4 linked regions of the Schizosaccharomyces pombe genome follow. The gene in region 1 interacts genetically with each later gene. Each region holds a gene or a part of one and is shown on either strand. Other genes may lie near its edges. The genes, in order: cph1, chp1, tma22 and hta1.

Region 1 (3,956 bases):
TATTAGTGGATAAGGAAGGTGTCATTGACACTTGTGGATGAACATGATCAACTGTTGTAATATGCTGATTTTGTGCAGCTGGACTACTATTAGCCTCTTCTAACGGTGTTTTCGTAACAGGAAGTAGAGGTGTTTTGAATGGAAGAGAAGGAGAAGGAGAATGAGTAGCACCATTTACCACATTAGGTTTAGTGGAAAGAGGACGGGTATGTTGAAGAGATGCCAAGTCTTCTTTAGTATAACTATCCACCTCGTCACCGGGTTCATGTAAATACATGCAAGAAGGATTGGGGCATTGCTGATTCCGTAAATAAGAAGTGCAATATTTAGTGGTACCATAAGATGCGCGAAGATGTCGCCCATCACTTACGCTGCCATCAATTGCAGCAATCGCTCGTGCAGCATCTTCTTTTCTTTGGTATGTAATATAAACTCCAACATGACCATTTGCAGAATTTGCAGCAGCCTTCTTATTTATTGCAATTTTAATAATCTTTCCGTATTGACCAAAGTATTCAGGTCCCTTCAGAACGTTGATATTCTCCTCATTTGCAACTTTGGGAGAAAGGCCGTTTACATAGGCAAGGTTCTTTTGTACAACACGAATATTTGCAAGATGCTTCCTGTTTGAAAGCTCGACTTCCTTCCTCTCTTTCTCGCGTTTCTTCCTCTCGTTTTTTCGATGTAAGTCCATCTTCCATCTAAAAACATTAGCGACATGTTTAAAAATAAAAGTGAATTTAAACAAGATTATGCTTAAACAAGAATTCTATAATCTGAATTACATACTCCTCTGCCGTGACAGGCCGCCATTGAACATTTTCTTCAGTGTACAGACGGCGACATGCAGGACAACGGCCATTTAGATCTTCTTTGATATGGTGCCAGCAAAATCTACAAACTCTGTATCCGCATTGGCATGGTTTGAAGTTTTTATCAGAGATATCAATTTCTTCCATACATAGAGGACTGTTGCAATTGTCAGTTAATTTTGATACTAATCGGCTAGTAAAACATACCAACACATGTCATCCTCATCTTCTGAAGAATATATCTCTTGCGTTTTTAACATTTTGTGTGAAATATGTCAAATCTCCGTCACAGTGCTCTCCAAATCGATACTGTTTAAGGTCGCTCGTTATACAATACAGAGGAAGTCTTCAAATATCTTAAATCAAATCTTTGATTTTAATTTAATTTAGTTAATTCCCTTAATATTCATTAGACTTCAAACAAATATTTTTTAAAGGGCAAACCGAGTTGTGGTTGGTTATAAGTTTACTTACAACTTAGTGTAAAAGAAGGAGGCAATGACTAGGTGAGAGGTTGGATTTGAACAGTATATACCACACGAAAAATAGCAATTAATAGACATGAATTAAGAAATTTGAGAAAATTCTTATTCCAAAGGTTTTTGGAATTGTGTTTGAACAACAAAAAGTACCCTTAAAAGTTTCACCGTCTATAATTTCATCTTGATAATTAATTGCAGTAAACGTTTGTAAACGAATGTATTATATATACAACTTTTTCACGTTGTGGTCAAATTCTTTAGTTATTTCATCTTCTAAGTAATTAGTGAATATATTGAATTGACGAAAAAACGATGAACAACATAATAAGAGGCATAAAGTGCTTCTCTACTTAATTTACGCTCCATGTTCCATCAAATGGATAATAGTTTTTAACAAAATGTTCAAATATTTTACATATAGAAGGGAATTTATTCTTATGATAATCATTTATACTAAATGCTCCTCTCGAAAATCAGATATCTTTAAGTAGTTTTCTAAGTCTAATTGCAACGACGTTTGGCGTTCAAAGACTTGTTGTAACTTAGCATCTTCATAACAGCGTTGCTTCACTATAATATACTTACAACCTCGACCATTGTTCTTTTTTACGATAACCATTAATTTTACCTTTAATATTCCTTAAAACATTAAGGATAGTATTGATATTTCTAAGTGCTAACCGTCGCGTATTACATGTTGCTTTGCTCATAGCATGGGAAGTATCTAATGGCATCCTCTATAAACAATTCATCTCAACCTACAGTACCTTCAATTTCTAATAATAGTCATGGCGACTCTTTCGTAAATGAAGGTCCCCCTTCTAATTTTAAAAATAATTCTTTAACATCATCAACTCACTCTTCAACTGACCATGTAAATGTCTTGCCAATTAGCCAAGACAAAGAGATGGATATAAGTTCTCCAGTGAAAAAACAAAAAGCTAGTTATTCGAATAAATCTCCAAATAAAGCACCTATTCAAAAAAGCCGGGGTAGTTCCCTAAAAAGTCATCTCGAAACCGAATCTCAACAAACTCCTGTAAAGCGACGGAGACGAAAAGCGACTATACGCAACGTCGACTATTGTAGTGCATGCGGAGGAAGAGGTCTTTTTATTTGTTGCGAGGGATGTCCTTGCAGTTTCCATCTTTCATGCTTGGAACCTCCCTTGACTCCTGAAAATATTCCAGAAGGATCTTGGTTTTGTGTGACTTGCTCAATCAAATCGCATCACCCTCCTAAGCACCCTCTTAGTATATGGTCCCAGCTTTACGATTGGATTGATTCTCAGAATCCCTCGCAGTACCGATTGCCCGACGACCTTGTGCATTATTTCCATGGAATATCTCGTGGGGATACAGGTGCTTATAAGGAAACTGAAGGAGAAATGGATACTGACGAGTTTTCTGCTTTGCCGACTGGCTCCTCTATCACTAATCTAGCTTACTGTGGTTATTGCTCTAAGCCATCAATGGGTGCTTGTTGGGTCTATGGTTGCCAGCTGTGTGACACCTTCTATCATAAAAATTGTAAAGAGCATGCTAAAAAATGCTCTCATGACTCCATTGGAAAAAAAGGTATGAGAGTACCAAAAAACGCCGTGGTGATAAGGACGCCCTTGGTGTTGGATACAACTTCTAATACTCTTAATCCTAAAGTCATGATTTCAGGATGGCAATTTCTTATGGGAGAGTTTCCAAGTGATGAACTTCTCTATTTCCCAAGATTACCCGTGAGTTGTCTCTACAAAGTTTCAGAAGACGGTCTCATCAAAGATTTTTTGTACGCGATTGGCATAGAAGCTAAAAAGTTTAATAATGAAAGGAAAAAACGAGAGTTAGAGGTTATTCCTCCAGACGTAAAAAGCGCACTACTTCCTGCGAGAACGCACCCAAACCTACCTATTGCACTACGCACTTTATTCAATAAGGCACGCACTTGAATTTTTACGATATTTTTACATTTTGTATAAAATCAGACTACGTTAATCTAATCTGTCGTGTTCAAATCGTCAGAAAAGGTTGTTTTCTGTTATTTTTTTGCTAATGTTGTATTTATAAAACCTCTTAGAACTGGCTATCTGTTGTAATTGGCTTATTTTACATTACTTTTCTCCATTAAGGCTTTTAAAAAATTTTCGTTATGCAATTAATCATTGCAAATCCTTCCTAATAGGGCAAAAGTTCTATTTTATACTAACAACTTCTCAATACTTAAATTTTATACGCGTATTGTACCGTGTGAGTATATATAAGTATATATAAGTATATATAAGTATATATGAGTAAGATGCATTTACTAGACAAAGAGGAATAAAATAAAAGAAAGTGATAAGGAAAGGTTCTATTACTAAAGTCTATTTAACAGCCATATCAATGGTTTAAAACGCTTACAGACCAAACGGTCCATAAAACTTGAACACCAAAAATATCAACAAATAAAAGATATGTTGGCATTCGTAATTACAAGTAAGCAAATACTTATTAACTAGAACCTAGTAGGTTCGTCGAACTTGCTTTCATCATCACCAACCTGACTTCTAAAGTCTTCAAAGTCGGTAGCGTTGCTTTCTCTTCGTTTGTATTGAGCAAAGACATTCCATTCTTCAAGATACGAGGAAGAGTATAAGTTCGGAAGATTAGAAAACGAAGGTAACATGGCA
Region 2 (5,892 bases), 1.4 Mb from region 1:
ACAAGCATGATAACGATGTTGCTGTCTGCATGCTCACGAAGCTCCTTTAACCAGCGGCCCACATTATCGAATGAAGATTGTTTTGTGATATCGTAAACAATCAGAGCACCAACAGCACCACGGTAATAAGCTGAGGTAATGGCCCGATAACGTTCCTGACCGGCAGTATCCCAGATCTGTGCTTTAATTTTTTTGTTGTCAAGAACAATATTTCTAGTAGCAAATTCAACACCAATAGTACTCTTGCTTTCGATATTAAATTCATTCCTAGTGAAACGCATAAGTAGGTTTGACTTTCCAACACCACTATCCCCAATCAGCACAGTCTTGAACAAATAATCGTATTCGTCCTCTTGACACATGGCTAAGTTCTCTATCGGTAAATCTACGAACAATTTTTGTTAACAAATATTTAAGGTCAAATAATATCAAGGTATATACCTGTAAATTACAATGAACCCTGCTTTCGATAGTCGAAGAATTTACTTAGTCGTAGTTTGTTGTAGGTAAGTTGCAGAGGGATATCAGAAAACCTAAGGAAGTAATAATCCTTTATCATGGTAACAAAAAAAAGTCCACTAGTGCCACTGGCCGTTAAAATGCATATAACGCATTCCAATGATTCATTAAATAATTATACTGCGTTACAAAGAATGTCGTAATCATGAGAAGGCTGGTGTCGTTTAGTGATTGCTATCATCAAAATCATTATGCTGTTGTTCACTATAAAGCGCTATTTTGTAAACATTTTAAAATGCCTTTGATATAAAGAAGCGCAAGTACTCAATTGAATGCAAGTACTATCAATTATATGAATGACCGATTGAACCCAATCGCAAAACTGGATATGGACGGGTTGGTATGGGTTTTTACAGTGCGATTAGTCAGTACTATACCCATTTTAGTCCTGCATCAAACAATGATGTAGAAATTCTTTGAAAGCAATGTTTTGATTTCCAAGTTACAAAGTTATCTAGCCAAAGAAAGAATATTTTAAGTTCCGGTTTTTTCAGCAGCTTTTTCTCACTTTTATAATGGTCACAATGATCGAAATTAAAAATTTGAAAGAATAAAATTGGCGGCTCAATTGAAATCTTTTTCTTTATGCAAAAGTTATACAATGTTGGATGCTGCTCATGGCATGCAGGCATCCTTCATGCAGAAAGTTACTTGAGTAATCCATCGAATAATTATCGTTGGCAAATCTTGGGTTAACAAGAAACAAAAAAATCCTGCACATAAACAGTTTTTCTTATTAAGTTCATTTCATGGAAAACGAATAACATAGTTCCGTAATAATATAAGTAAATGGATCCCTTGGTTAACCTCTATATAAAATTAATGCAAGCAATTATCAAAAGAGGTCGTGTGGTTTAGATGGTTATAATTTCTGCTTAACATGCTAGTTCGCAGACGGTCCCAAGTTCGAGTCTTGGCACGATCATTTTTTTCTATCGTAGTAATTATTTACTTTTCTTATTGTACTACCAGTTTTGGAATGATATGTTGTGTTGAATTCGTTTATATAGAGTTAACACATTTAGAGGTATTATGTATAAACGCATCGTTTAATAAATTGCAGCGCTCAAAATCTACTCATTGTAGCTTTTTGAAAACAAAATTCATTATTTGTTTAAAGTTTTTCTAACTTACACAACCACCCAGAAAATAAAATTAGAAGTTCAGGAGGAATGAGAAAATTTTAAACATTTATCAATTTACCAACAAAGTTTTTTGACTACTAGTACCTCATGTATGCAACTAGTAACACTAGTGGTTAGTGAGTATTTTCTCAAAGTACATATGTCTCCATAGGTGTCTTCAAATCTGCAACCTCAACCTCACACACTTGATTAATGCAATAAAACTCCAAACCCAATCGAAAACTTATTTTTTTGTATATTTAACGGTTTGCGTTGGTGACACGACGGTAAAATCACGCGGATTTTGTTTGATTCCAAAATTCGAGTGCATAAGCCATCTTGCTTATTGCAGCGAGACTTCGAAATTCTAACATCTAAAAGCTTCATTACTGGAATTATCTGTTGTTATTCTTGTGTTCCATTGGTAAAAAAATCACAAGCAAAAGGGAAATATTTGAGCCATTTTAGAGGTTATACTCTGCCCTTCATGCAACTATAAAAGTAGTTGAAAGGGAAGAACTTTGGCTAATAGTTTTGTCAAGGAATCTATTCAATCTTGCTTAATTCCGTTTTTTTTTTAAATTCATATCTTTATCCTTTTATATATTTTTTTGTTGTAATACTTCAATCTCTCTTAGCGACACGTAGGTGAGCAAAAAACCCGCTACCTTGAAATGGTATCTGTTAAACCACTTCCTGATATTGACTCGAATGAAGGTGAGACAGACGCGGATGTTTATGAGGTGGAAGATATCCTTGCTGACCGCGTAAATAAAAATGGCATAAACGAATATTATATAAAATGGGCTGGCTATGATTGGTATGATAATACTTGGGAACCTGAACAAAATTTATTCGGTGCGGAAAAAGTGCTTAAAAAATGGAAAAAACGGAAAAAGTTAATTGCTAAAGGCTTGCTTGAACCTTTCGATGCGGAAGATAATGAGGCAAAGAAAATGAAGAGAGAAAAGGAGATATTGAGGCAACAAAGACAAAAGCGCAAATCCGAGCTTACCCAATTATCTCAAAAAGTCAAAGAAAAATTCAAAAAGATGCGTAAGAAGCCTGCCCGAAGGATTGTAACCATCGCAAATGATGAAGAGGAAGAGGACGATCAGACAATGGATGAGGATGCGTTTGAGAGAAAAAGTATGCAAGGGGAATTGAAGGAGAGGAATTTGACCGATAAAACTAGCACGCTATCCACATCGTTTGGTGAAACTAGCCCTGATGTTAATCCTTTCTACTTATCAGAGTGGCCTACAGTTACCGACAGTATTTTATTGTCCAAAAGCCTCTCCAGCGATGCAATACCTTTGAAAAATGGCGAAATTAAAAGCACAATGTTGATGCCCAGTGACTCTGACAACTCAGTTCCCGGAATTCAAAATTCGAACAATCTTGAAAATACTGGCGCTTTTGTTGAAAATGCGAATTCACCACAATCTAACACCCCCTTGTCAACCTTTAGGCATTCAAGCCCTTTAAGTCTGTCGCCAGTAATAACTTCCGATAATGATGTTGCCAATTCATTATTTTTTAGCAATTCGACTCCTCTTCCTTCCTCTTTGAAGATAAAAAAGGAAGCACCGAAATTAGAAACGCATACGATATTAGTTAGTGATAATTCTGGTTCTTTAACGAAGCAAGATATTTTATCGTACTTTGCTTTTATCAAAGGAAATATTGAGGTCTTTTTTCTCAAATCACCAAAGAAAGACAAAGTTTGTAATATGGCCTACATTCAATTCGATTCTATCGAACAAGCCAAACTTGCGTATGATAAAGGGCATCCAAGTTGGCATGTAACTTTAGTAAAAGGGAAGATATCAACTGATATGGAAGAATGTAAAGTCTCAAAGTCTATTTTAAAAACAACCCCTTCAAAGAAAGCAAATGCAAGGTCCGTTTCTTTTACACAAACAACAACAGATACCCTTTCTGAGTCGGAAAAATTTGCTAGCAATGTCGATCTGGACGAAAATTTCGATTTCAACGTAAACGTGACGAATGAAGATGCTAAGCAGCTTAAGAAAAGTGTTATCGGAAGTAGTTGGACTACTGTTAATAACGACTGGAACAGTGTTTCTAAAAGCGATCAAACTTTTGAAAATGATGGAGCTAGCAAAGTAGTTCCGGCTGGTAATATTACTTTAAATTCGGATAACTCTCTTCACCATTCGATAAGCGAATCCGAAGATCTTTCTTCAGCAAGCACATTGTCTGATTATTTTAGATTCGTTTTGCGAGTCGGAAAATCTCTCTACTATGCTGGAGAATTGTCATTTGATATATCCAAGCTTAAGGCGGAAACTGAACATCAACAGTTGTTACGAAGTTTAGTCAGTTGCAAGCAAGTAGATGTTTTACGTTTTGTTACTTCACAATATCTCGAGGTATTTGGTACTTGCTTGACTAAAGTTCTTTCCGGAAGTCTTTGTATTCGAAGCGATGTTGATATGACTCACTTTAAAAATATACTAAACCGCGGCAACGGTGCTGGCATCGTTCTGGGTAGTAACTATACATTATTATTATTTACAGAGGATAATAATGCTTTAATGAATTTATACGATTGTCAAGGCCAAAGCAATAGCCCTTTTTGGATGGTGATTTTTGAACCTTTAGAATCAATCCTAGTCGAATGGTCGGCAAAAAATCTAAGGCCTAAAAAGCCATATCATAAATCCCAATCTTACTTGTCTTATTTACTACAATTAGGCCACATCGATTTACATAAAATAGGCGCTTTTCAAGCTACACAAATTTTAATTGTCTCTAAACAGCCTTCTCCGGAGGCAGAAGAATTGGAGGATACTTTTAGAGAAGCTGCTATTCCGACATTTCGAGGACTCGAGATTCCGGAATCTTTGTTTTTATCACAGAATGTTTTTGTTTTCCTGAATGTCTCACTAGAGGATGATTTTGATCAACTGCAATTTTTAACACTGGCGAAAAGGAAAAGTTGTAAATTTTTCTTATTTGGTTTGTCACTCCCTCTCAAAAGTCCTAATGATTCACACGTGGGTACGGACTTTAAGAAAAACAATGAACCCCTTGATAAGTTGACATATTCACAGTACTTAAGACCGATGTTTCCTAAGGGTGGGGTGGTATCTGTTACACTCTCAGCACTTATAAAAACACCACGGCTTTTGGAACTCATTAGTCCATTTCTTGAGATTAAAAAAGATTCATGGATTTTAATTCTACCCCCATCAATTGTGGATATGGTCAAGAGCTATTTTGTAACAAACAATCCAGACAAAAGTCTCTTGGAAATTCAAAACTTATTGAATACACTCCAGCGCTACCTGACCAACCCAGCGCTGAAGAACGTGACTTTGTATCAGGATTGGGATATTGTGATCGATGATAGCGCTGATGTATCTTTAGCCAGCACTCTACAATTGTACCAGAAAAAAAATTATGATAAATATAGAAGGTTCGTATTGATTCACGAGCTTAAAAATGAATTGACGCCAGTTAATGGCCTTGACATTGTTGACTATGATGAGTTCAAAGAGACTTTTATGAGAGCTATTGGTTTAAAATAGTCGTTTTATTTATTTTGGGATACGGCGGACAATGGGATATATAGACTGACATTTTTTCTTATTACGAATGGATAGGAATACTTAAAATTAAACTCAAAGACTTATACTAGAAAATAACAGTCTACTCTTTAGAAATTAGACGATTAATTAATTAATTAATTTTTTCACTATATAATAACCGTATGTTTCAACATTGTTAGTTGTTTTTGCGCACCTCCTTAAAATCTAGGATCTCTTGGAAAAACATGTGATCCAATACCAACCGGCTAATATCTGTGTGTGTGTATTTAAACTAAACAACATGTTTGGTACTCGTTTTTTTGCTTATCAATTTTGCAAGAATTGGTTATCGAAACGACCAGGATTGGTCTTTTGGAGCTCAGTAGCAACAATAAATGCCATGTATCAAACTCGCCCTCTATACTGTGAGAGTGTCACCAAGACAATTCAACAAACATACGAAGGATTAGTTCAAAAAAGAATTAATAATGAGGATGAACTATTTTTGTTAGGTTCAGGACCGCGATATGTTTCTTTTCTAAGTATTCATGTGTATGATATCGAATTGTATATTCAGAAGAAAGATGTTCAAACCGTTCACACTATATTGCAAAAGGAGGTAGATCCGAAATTAGGGCTAGAAATGAGTATGAAAGACGAAGAAATTGGAAGTCGGATCGTGGCAGCGCTAT
Region 3 (3,364 bases), on another chromosome or scaffold:
GTCAAAAAAAACATAATTCCTCAACTTCGTTGCTTTTGGCAATGTTCGAATGGTGAAATCGTCAACTTCCCCATCAGCATTGCTTAATGCGCCTCAACGCAAATGACTCAAAAACTTCAATAACGAAATACGCATTCGGATCTCTTAAGTGTTTGTATCGATATTAAAATCCTGTCCCCTGAAAGTTAAGTACACTGAAGAACTAGCTACTGAGTAATGTTATTATCACGGTTCTTCTTAGTTAATAATGAAGCTACAACTATTTGCATAGTAAATCAATTTTATCAAATTTAAAAAGGTGACAATGATCACAGCATTCTTTGTAGAATCGATTACTTTGTCAAAATATAATTTATTCCTACATTCAAGACAACATTTTCTTAATGAACTACTAAGCTGCCTTATTTTGTATGCTGATAACGTCCAAAAAGGCGTAAAGAAACACAATTTCAATTTTTAACTGCTAAGAAATTCATGGCATACACAACGAATGCTAATACTACTCTATAGCCTTGGCAATGAAATGTAAGTAAACAAATGGTGACTTCAAATCATCATACTAATACAACAGGCAATAAATTGTAAAATATTGATAATTAGGCATTTTTTATATAGAAACATTAAAAAACATGAGTCTCAATAAATTATTAAAAACCGGTATCCTAACTGTGCAACCATTTAACAGAAAATTAGGTTGTACAAGATTGTACAAGACAGTTTATGATAAAATAGCCCCAAAAATAGCATACTTAGTAGTATTTTTAAAAAATAAAAATTAAGATTACTGCTTCTTCTTAGATTTCGTATCTTCGACAATTTTAATATTGTCTTCCGGAACCTCTTTAAACTTTTCCAAAATAAAATCAAATATATCATAATTCAAATCACCCTGTACAACAATTTCATCCTTCTTATCAGCTGTTTTAGTGACACTGGCTCCGGTCGCGAACTTGTTGGCCAACATCTTAGCAGCTTTTTTCGTTTCGATCCCAAATGCGTCAAGACCTTGAACTGTGGTGACTCTCTTTCTTTTAGTTCTTTCAATGGTTTTTATCAAAACCTTGGATGCCATACGTTTGGCTTCTTCACGCTCAACGCGCTTTTCCTCCTTCGTCAATTTTGCCGGTTGTTCTTCTGCATTAGAATCTTTAGTTCCGCTAACATTCAGAGTGTTTTCAAGGTCTTTGCTTAAGTCTTGCTCACCGTACAATTTATCATAAACGTCCGGGTGAGATGATTTAAGCCATTCTTTACATTTTTTTAAAGTGCCCTCAAATTCGCAGTACTACAACGCATTCATAGTTAATATAATTATAAAACAAGTTGTTTATTACGTACTTCCACGGGCAATGTACAAACATCGCAGTATAATACTGATTTTAACTTCGGGATGGTTTGTGAAGCCATTATTTGAGTTTCTTGCAGTATAGGTTAAAGTAGAGACTACCTGGGGGAACGAAAATAGAAAGCGAGATTCAAAGAGGCGAAGCCTAAATATACTATGAGAGTAAAATATGCTTAAAAGCTGTAAGTTATTCGTTAAATAAAAAGTAATTCACATCTCAAGTCGTTTTAAATTTTAGAATATAATGTTATGCTGCTGAAACCGTAAACGGATTTTTAGGACTTTTGTTTACATATCAAAACAATGATATGATAACAAGCTGTTCTTTATAAAGAGTAATAAAAATAACGGCGCTGTAACATTGTAAACTAGATTCAACATGATAAAAAGCTACTACAAAATAAGTTGCGTAAAAAGATAGGAAATTAATTATTCAATTATTGTACAAATAAATACACACTTCGCAGCGTGAGCTAGTTCATAACTTTAAATTCATCAAGACTTCGTGAGTATCCTTAATCTTCAAGGGGCTGACCATAACAGAATGAATAGGAGAGCATTTCTTATCCAAATCATAATAAATGGAAGGAGATACAGCTCTTCTCTTCGATAAGTCGATTATTTCTTCGCCCCATCGAGTTCGCTTTTTCGAGGATGGGGTACGGGATCTGGAGTGATTGCTATTCGGAGTTGACATTTCTGTATCCTTAAAAAATACAGAACTGGAAAGCAGAGGAGATATGGGCATCTCATTCGAAGGCTTAGTAGATGGATTGTCCGTATTACTACTGTCCTCTGCAGATGACTCAATTACATCAGAGTTCTCAACAGCTTTCAAAGATCCTGATGGTGCGAGAACATTACCATTTGCACCTGTTATAGAACTGTAAAACGGTACACCCGGACCTACCATTGCAGGCGAAGCAGCTCTAGAAACAAAGGATGATGATTTTTTAGGCTCGAAAAACATCTTGGAAAATTCCGATTCACTACGGATTTCCAACTCCAGAGGAGATGATTCTTCATACAAGGCACTGGCTACGCGTTGGAACATTTTCGGTTTGGGAAGCAAAGACTTTCTTCGTAACACAGGACACAAAGATTTCGAAATTCTTCCAGAATGAGAGGGACTACAAAGGTCCTTTAAATTTTTTACTTCAATATGTTTATTTGGAGTCTTAGAAAACGAACGCTGATCCAAATTTTCATTGTAACTCAACTGCCTAGTTCCTCTAGCCATGGCAGCGGACGGCAAGTCTGTTGTAGAGTCTGATATGTACTCGGTATCATCATCTTCCATATCGGTCAGTTCTGAATCAAGTGGAAACATAGATTCATCAGTTTCGTCGCTCATTGAGTAATTTACATATCTTAATCCGATTGACGGTGAAGCTTCAGGAGAAGGGGCTGTAAAAGTTTGATGCAAGCTTGAGCACCTAATACTTTTCTCTCTGTTTCTTACAAAAAAGTTCAGACTTGAATTTGATGTTGCTGTGGTCGGTTTTCCAGGTGTTGGATGAAATGAATCCATTTCGACAGTATATCCCTACAAAATACCACAAAGACTTAAAAATAATATAAAGGCCCTATATTAAATAATCATTCTATATTTTATTGCATATGCTTTACAATTGAAAAAAATTCGTATTGACGAGGTGACGATAGGCTTCAGTTAAGATCTCGGGAGCAGTACAAAACATAAGCTTAAACATAGTTAATTCCAAAAGAGGATTCAAATCACCATTCTCATAGTAAAGCTTAACAGAAATTAACTTAATCAATAAATGAGAATTGTATAAGCCGCTTCTTTATACATAGTAAATATTAGGACAGACTATATTCAAGTAAGGATATTGTTGATACACTCATCAATTTTAATTTGCTTCAGAGATGTAAAGCAGGAAATTCAAAAGTTAAAAAATCGACAAGTGAAATTAGCTTATACATTCTGGATATTATCACTGTCCCTCTATATAACTGAAATTAAACTGAATGAAATAAATATTGCACAAATAGTCT
Region 4 (3,602 bases), on another chromosome or scaffold:
CGCTCTGATGTTTTACACTTCGTAACTCGACTGTTAAACTTGCGTTCACGTTTGGTACCTTACCAAAAGTTTCTCTTACAGACATTTCCTCTTAACGAGGTTTCTCCCTCCCTCGATCCGAGAATTTCAAAATCTCTTCGAAACTTGCAAGATCTTTATAAATTGTTGGCCATACGGGATACCAGTTTTTCCAATACCACACCCTCTTCCATATCCAAGTTGAGCATTCAACCACCGACCTTCCAATTGTTTTCCACTCTAGAAACCATATACTTAGAATTAAAAGACTCCATGCCTCCTAATGAAGCGGCAGATTGGATGATAGCCACAACGTCTTGTATGCTCGCTCAGTTTGCTTTACACTCACCATATGCCTTTTTCCACGACATTCCTAGTATTTCGCATTTCTTAAATAAATGCCTTCCACCTACCATACTCGACTTGCTACAACAAATCCAAAGAAAGGCAGAAGCCAGCTCCATAAGTCCGACTACGGAAACAGCTACGAAAACACGACTCAAGTTTCAGTTTATTGAAATGATCTTTTCATAATATTATATTATTATTAATAGTAGAATTACTTTACAATCTTTCCAAACATATATAAAATCATTTGCATAGCAAACATACCAAACCACATCAACTTCGCACACTGGATTCTTTGGGATATTTTGAATGTGAATAATAATATTCCATTCACCATCAATCTAAATCACCAACATAAACAATAATAATAATAATAAATCCATTAATAAACCAAGATGCCCAGGAGTGGAACGGGAAATGGAGTGTGAGAAGTGTCTGTATGAGTGCCAATGACACAAATTATTTCCATACATGGCGGAAAGGAACAAACAGTCGAAAAAAAAGAAACTCAACTCTCCAACCAGTGGTGATAGCTATAAAATGCACAAGGGAAGAAGATTAACCAAGGGAAGAAAAAGCATCTCGTCCCCGTCGAATCGAACACAAAACCCAATTTGATCCAGTACGACTTGTGCAAAACAAAACACCTTTCAACTCCACGAACCGGTCATAGAAATGAAGAACCATGTGTAATGTAAAAAAAACTATCGCGTGATGTGCTGCACCTGTGTTGTTGTTGTCGTCATTGTACGGGGAATAAAATAGGAATGCGATACAAAAGGCGGAAATGGAAAAGAGGAGGGAACGAAAACGTTAAAAAAGGGAGGAGGAAAATATATATTTCCAAAAGAGCAAATAACCTACCCCCTTTTGTTTCGTGAGGTTGTCATTGTCGAAATGGAAGGCTGTGGAAACTCATCAGCTGACTAAAAGACGATTGCACAATCGTGCGATTCGCTTACTGAGCAGAAGAAGAATACTTGGTGACGGATTTGGTACCTTCGGTAACGGCGTGCTTGGCTAACTCACCGGGAAGAATCAAACGAACAGCAGTCTGGATTTCACGGGAAGAAATAGTGGACTTCTTGTTGTAAGCAGCAAGCTTGGAAGCCTCAGTGGCAATACGCTCAAAAATATCGTTGACGAAAGAGTTCAAGATACGCATGGCTTGGTTGGAAATACCAGTATCAGGGTGAACTTGCTTCAACACCTTGTAAATATAGGATGAATAAGTTTCCTTTCTGTTTTTACCACGCTTCTTATCAGCAGACTTCATGGTATCCCTAGGAGCCTTACCGGCGGGAGCCTTGGAAGCGGGTTTCTTTTCAGCAGCAGACATTTTTTACGATTTAAAAATTGGTTGTCGAGAGAATCTCAAAATTGATGGACTGAACTAAGTAATTGCAATTGTAGGAATTTGATAATCCTAAACTTTCGTGCAATATCAAGTTGTTGGTATTAACTAACATGCCTGCAGGCGACGCGATGGTTATATACAACTTGGGCATCACAACCCTAACCCTGGTGTTTAGCCATGCGACGCGGAAACGTCATCTACAAGAACGCGTTAGACGTGCTTATACGGAAGATTAGAATTAGTATATATATGAAGGGTGCGCGCTCCTATGTCTCCTTTTCCCTATATCGCGACTTTTCGTTGTTTAGGATACCTTTTGATCCATACACGTATTGAAATTGATATAAACAATTGATCCTTAGTTGATAAGGAGATTGATTGTCCGTAAAGGCTGAAATTGCGAGAAAATTCTGTTAATTTCACCAAATTTGATCCATTCGCTGCTTCATCGTTGACTGTTATCTTTTTTCATTAAAGAAGGAAAAATCTTTTTTTTTTAACTCAAACTTTTATTTTTTTTATTTAGTTTCAGTATTTTTCGTCATGTCTGGAGGTAAATCTGGTGGTAAGGCTGCTGTTGCCAAATCTGCTCAATCCCGTTCTGCCAAGGCCGGTTTGGCTTTCCCCGTTGGTCGTGTCCATCGTTTGTTACGTAAGGGTAACTATGCTCAACGTGTTGGTGCTGGTGCTCCCGTTTACTTGGCCGCCGTTTTGGAATATTTGGCTGCTGAAATTCTCGAATTGGCTGGAAACGCTGCTCGTGACAACAAGAAGACTCGTATCATTCCCCGTCATCTTCAACTCGCCATCCGTAACGATGAAGAGTTGAACAAACTTCTTGGTCACGTTACCATTGCTCAAGGTGGTGTTGTTCCCAACATCAACGCCCATCTTTTGCCCAAAACTTCTGGTCGCACTGGAAAGCCTAGTCAGGAGCTGTAAAGTCAGTCGTCAAGTAAAACATTTTGAAAGAGGATGAAGGGAAAGACATTGAAAAGTTGTAAAGGACCTTTCTTTTTTTACAACCCCGCAATACTTTTTTTGGTTGTTTCTCGCTTCTAAACCATGTTTGGTTCTTTTTCCTTTTGAACTTTTTGCGTCTTTCTTTTTCTTTGCTGTTATTGTTTTCGTTATGCCTGAACTTTAAGGATGTTTTAGATGCAGCCAAGTCATTCTCTACTAGTTACTTTTACTAGTACTTGAAGGGCTTTTGCACAAGTAATTCCTACTTGAACTGGCTCCTTTGGTTTTTTTTATTTCTTTTTTATTCTCCCTTAATTATAATATTGTATAGTAATGAGTATATTTTTCAAAATCCTATATGAGAGTATGTATCAAATGAATAAATAGATTGTAGAGTGGAGATGAACAGATTGATGAAAGGAGTGTCATTAAACATTGAATCGAGCAGTACATGCAAAAGAATAGTACTTAATTTTTTTTTACAATTAATGCTTTTGAATTTCCAGAATTTTTTTTCGATGCAGTTTTTTTACTCTTCTTTCGTGAAACGGTAGACGTTTGCTTCTTTTGAGTTTTTTCCTTCGCCGATTTCGAAGCTCGGTCGCACCAGTACAGCACAATTCCAACTAAAAGACCAAGCATTTCATAAATTGAGAATGCTTAGATTTGGTAATTTTCACGTTTATTTTCCCTTTTTTTCTGTCTATATTTCTTATGGGCTATTTAGTCATTACGTCCAACCGATTGGTTAATGAATTGTACCCGGAACCGGTAAAGCCAGTTAACGAGAATATGTAAGCAATTTTTGGCAAGTTGGTGAATTTCACAAATTCATTTACCCATAATGCTGCTTTTATCGTTATTTATGGATAGTGATTGCTGTACGTCTCTTTATATGTTTGAAAAGAATACAATA

Evidence for each region.
Region 2: mutations in cph1 (region 1) and chp1 together harm fitness more than expected from each alone (negative genetic interaction), as found in Schizosaccharomyces pombe (2 studies listed by BioGRID).
Region 3: mutations in cph1 (region 1) and tma22 together harm fitness more than expected from each alone (negative genetic interaction), as found in Schizosaccharomyces pombe (2 studies listed by BioGRID).
Region 4: mutations in cph1 (region 1) and hta1 together harm fitness more than expected from each alone (negative genetic interaction), as found in Schizosaccharomyces pombe (2 studies listed by BioGRID).

Annotation. Positions count from the first base shown.
Region 1 is NC_003424.3:797,529-801,484, forward strand, and holds cph1 (Clr6 histone deacetylase-associated PHD protein-1 Cph1), read left to right. Parts: upstream 1-1,838; 5' UTR 1,839-2,021; coding exon 2,022-3,236; 3' UTR 3,237-3,453; downstream 3,454-3,956. Other genes in the region: CCR4-Not complex subunit Mot2, read right to left, coding at 1-701, 790-969, 1,020-1,072; ATP-dependent RNA helicase Upf1, read right to left, coding at 3,782-3,956.
Region 2 is NC_003424.3:2,210,285-2,216,176, reverse strand, and holds chp1 (heterochromatin (HP1) family chromodomain protein Chp1), read left to right. Parts: upstream 1-1,831; 5' UTR 1,832-2,317; coding exon 2,318-5,200; 3' UTR 5,201-5,367; downstream 5,368-5,892. Other genes in the region: Rab11 family GTPase Ypt3, read right to left, coding at 1-362; aim18 (chalcone related protein), read left to right, coding at 5,502-5,892. UniProt on the Schizosaccharomyces pombe protein: Component of the kinetochore which plays a role in stabilizing microtubules and so allowing accurate chromosome segregation. Has a role in the RNA interference (RNAi) pathway which is important for heterochromatin formation and accurate chromosome segregation.
Region 3 is NC_003423.3:4,333,662-4,337,025, reverse strand, and holds tma22 (mitochondrial translation initiation factor), read right to left. Parts: upstream 1,434-3,364; 5' UTR 1,408-1,433; coding exon 1,339-1,407; intron 1,286-1,338; coding exon 782-1,285; 3' UTR 546-781; downstream 1-545. Other genes in the region: vacuolar protein sorting receptor vps10, read right to left, coding at 1-14; protein Dbl6, read right to left, coding at 1,824-2,876.
Region 4 is NC_003421.2:1,410,587-1,414,188, reverse strand, and holds hta1 (histone H2A alpha), read left to right. Parts: upstream 1-2,007; 5' UTR 2,008-2,266; coding exon 2,267-2,665; 3' UTR 2,666-3,045; downstream 3,046-3,602. Other genes in the region: exocyst complex subunit Sec5, read left to right, coding at 1-552; histone H2B Htb1, read right to left, coding at 1,325-1,705. UniProt on the Schizosaccharomyces pombe protein: Core component of nucleosome which plays a central role in DNA double strand break (DSB) repair. Nucleosomes wrap and compact DNA into chromatin, limiting DNA accessibility to the cellular machineries which require DNA as a template.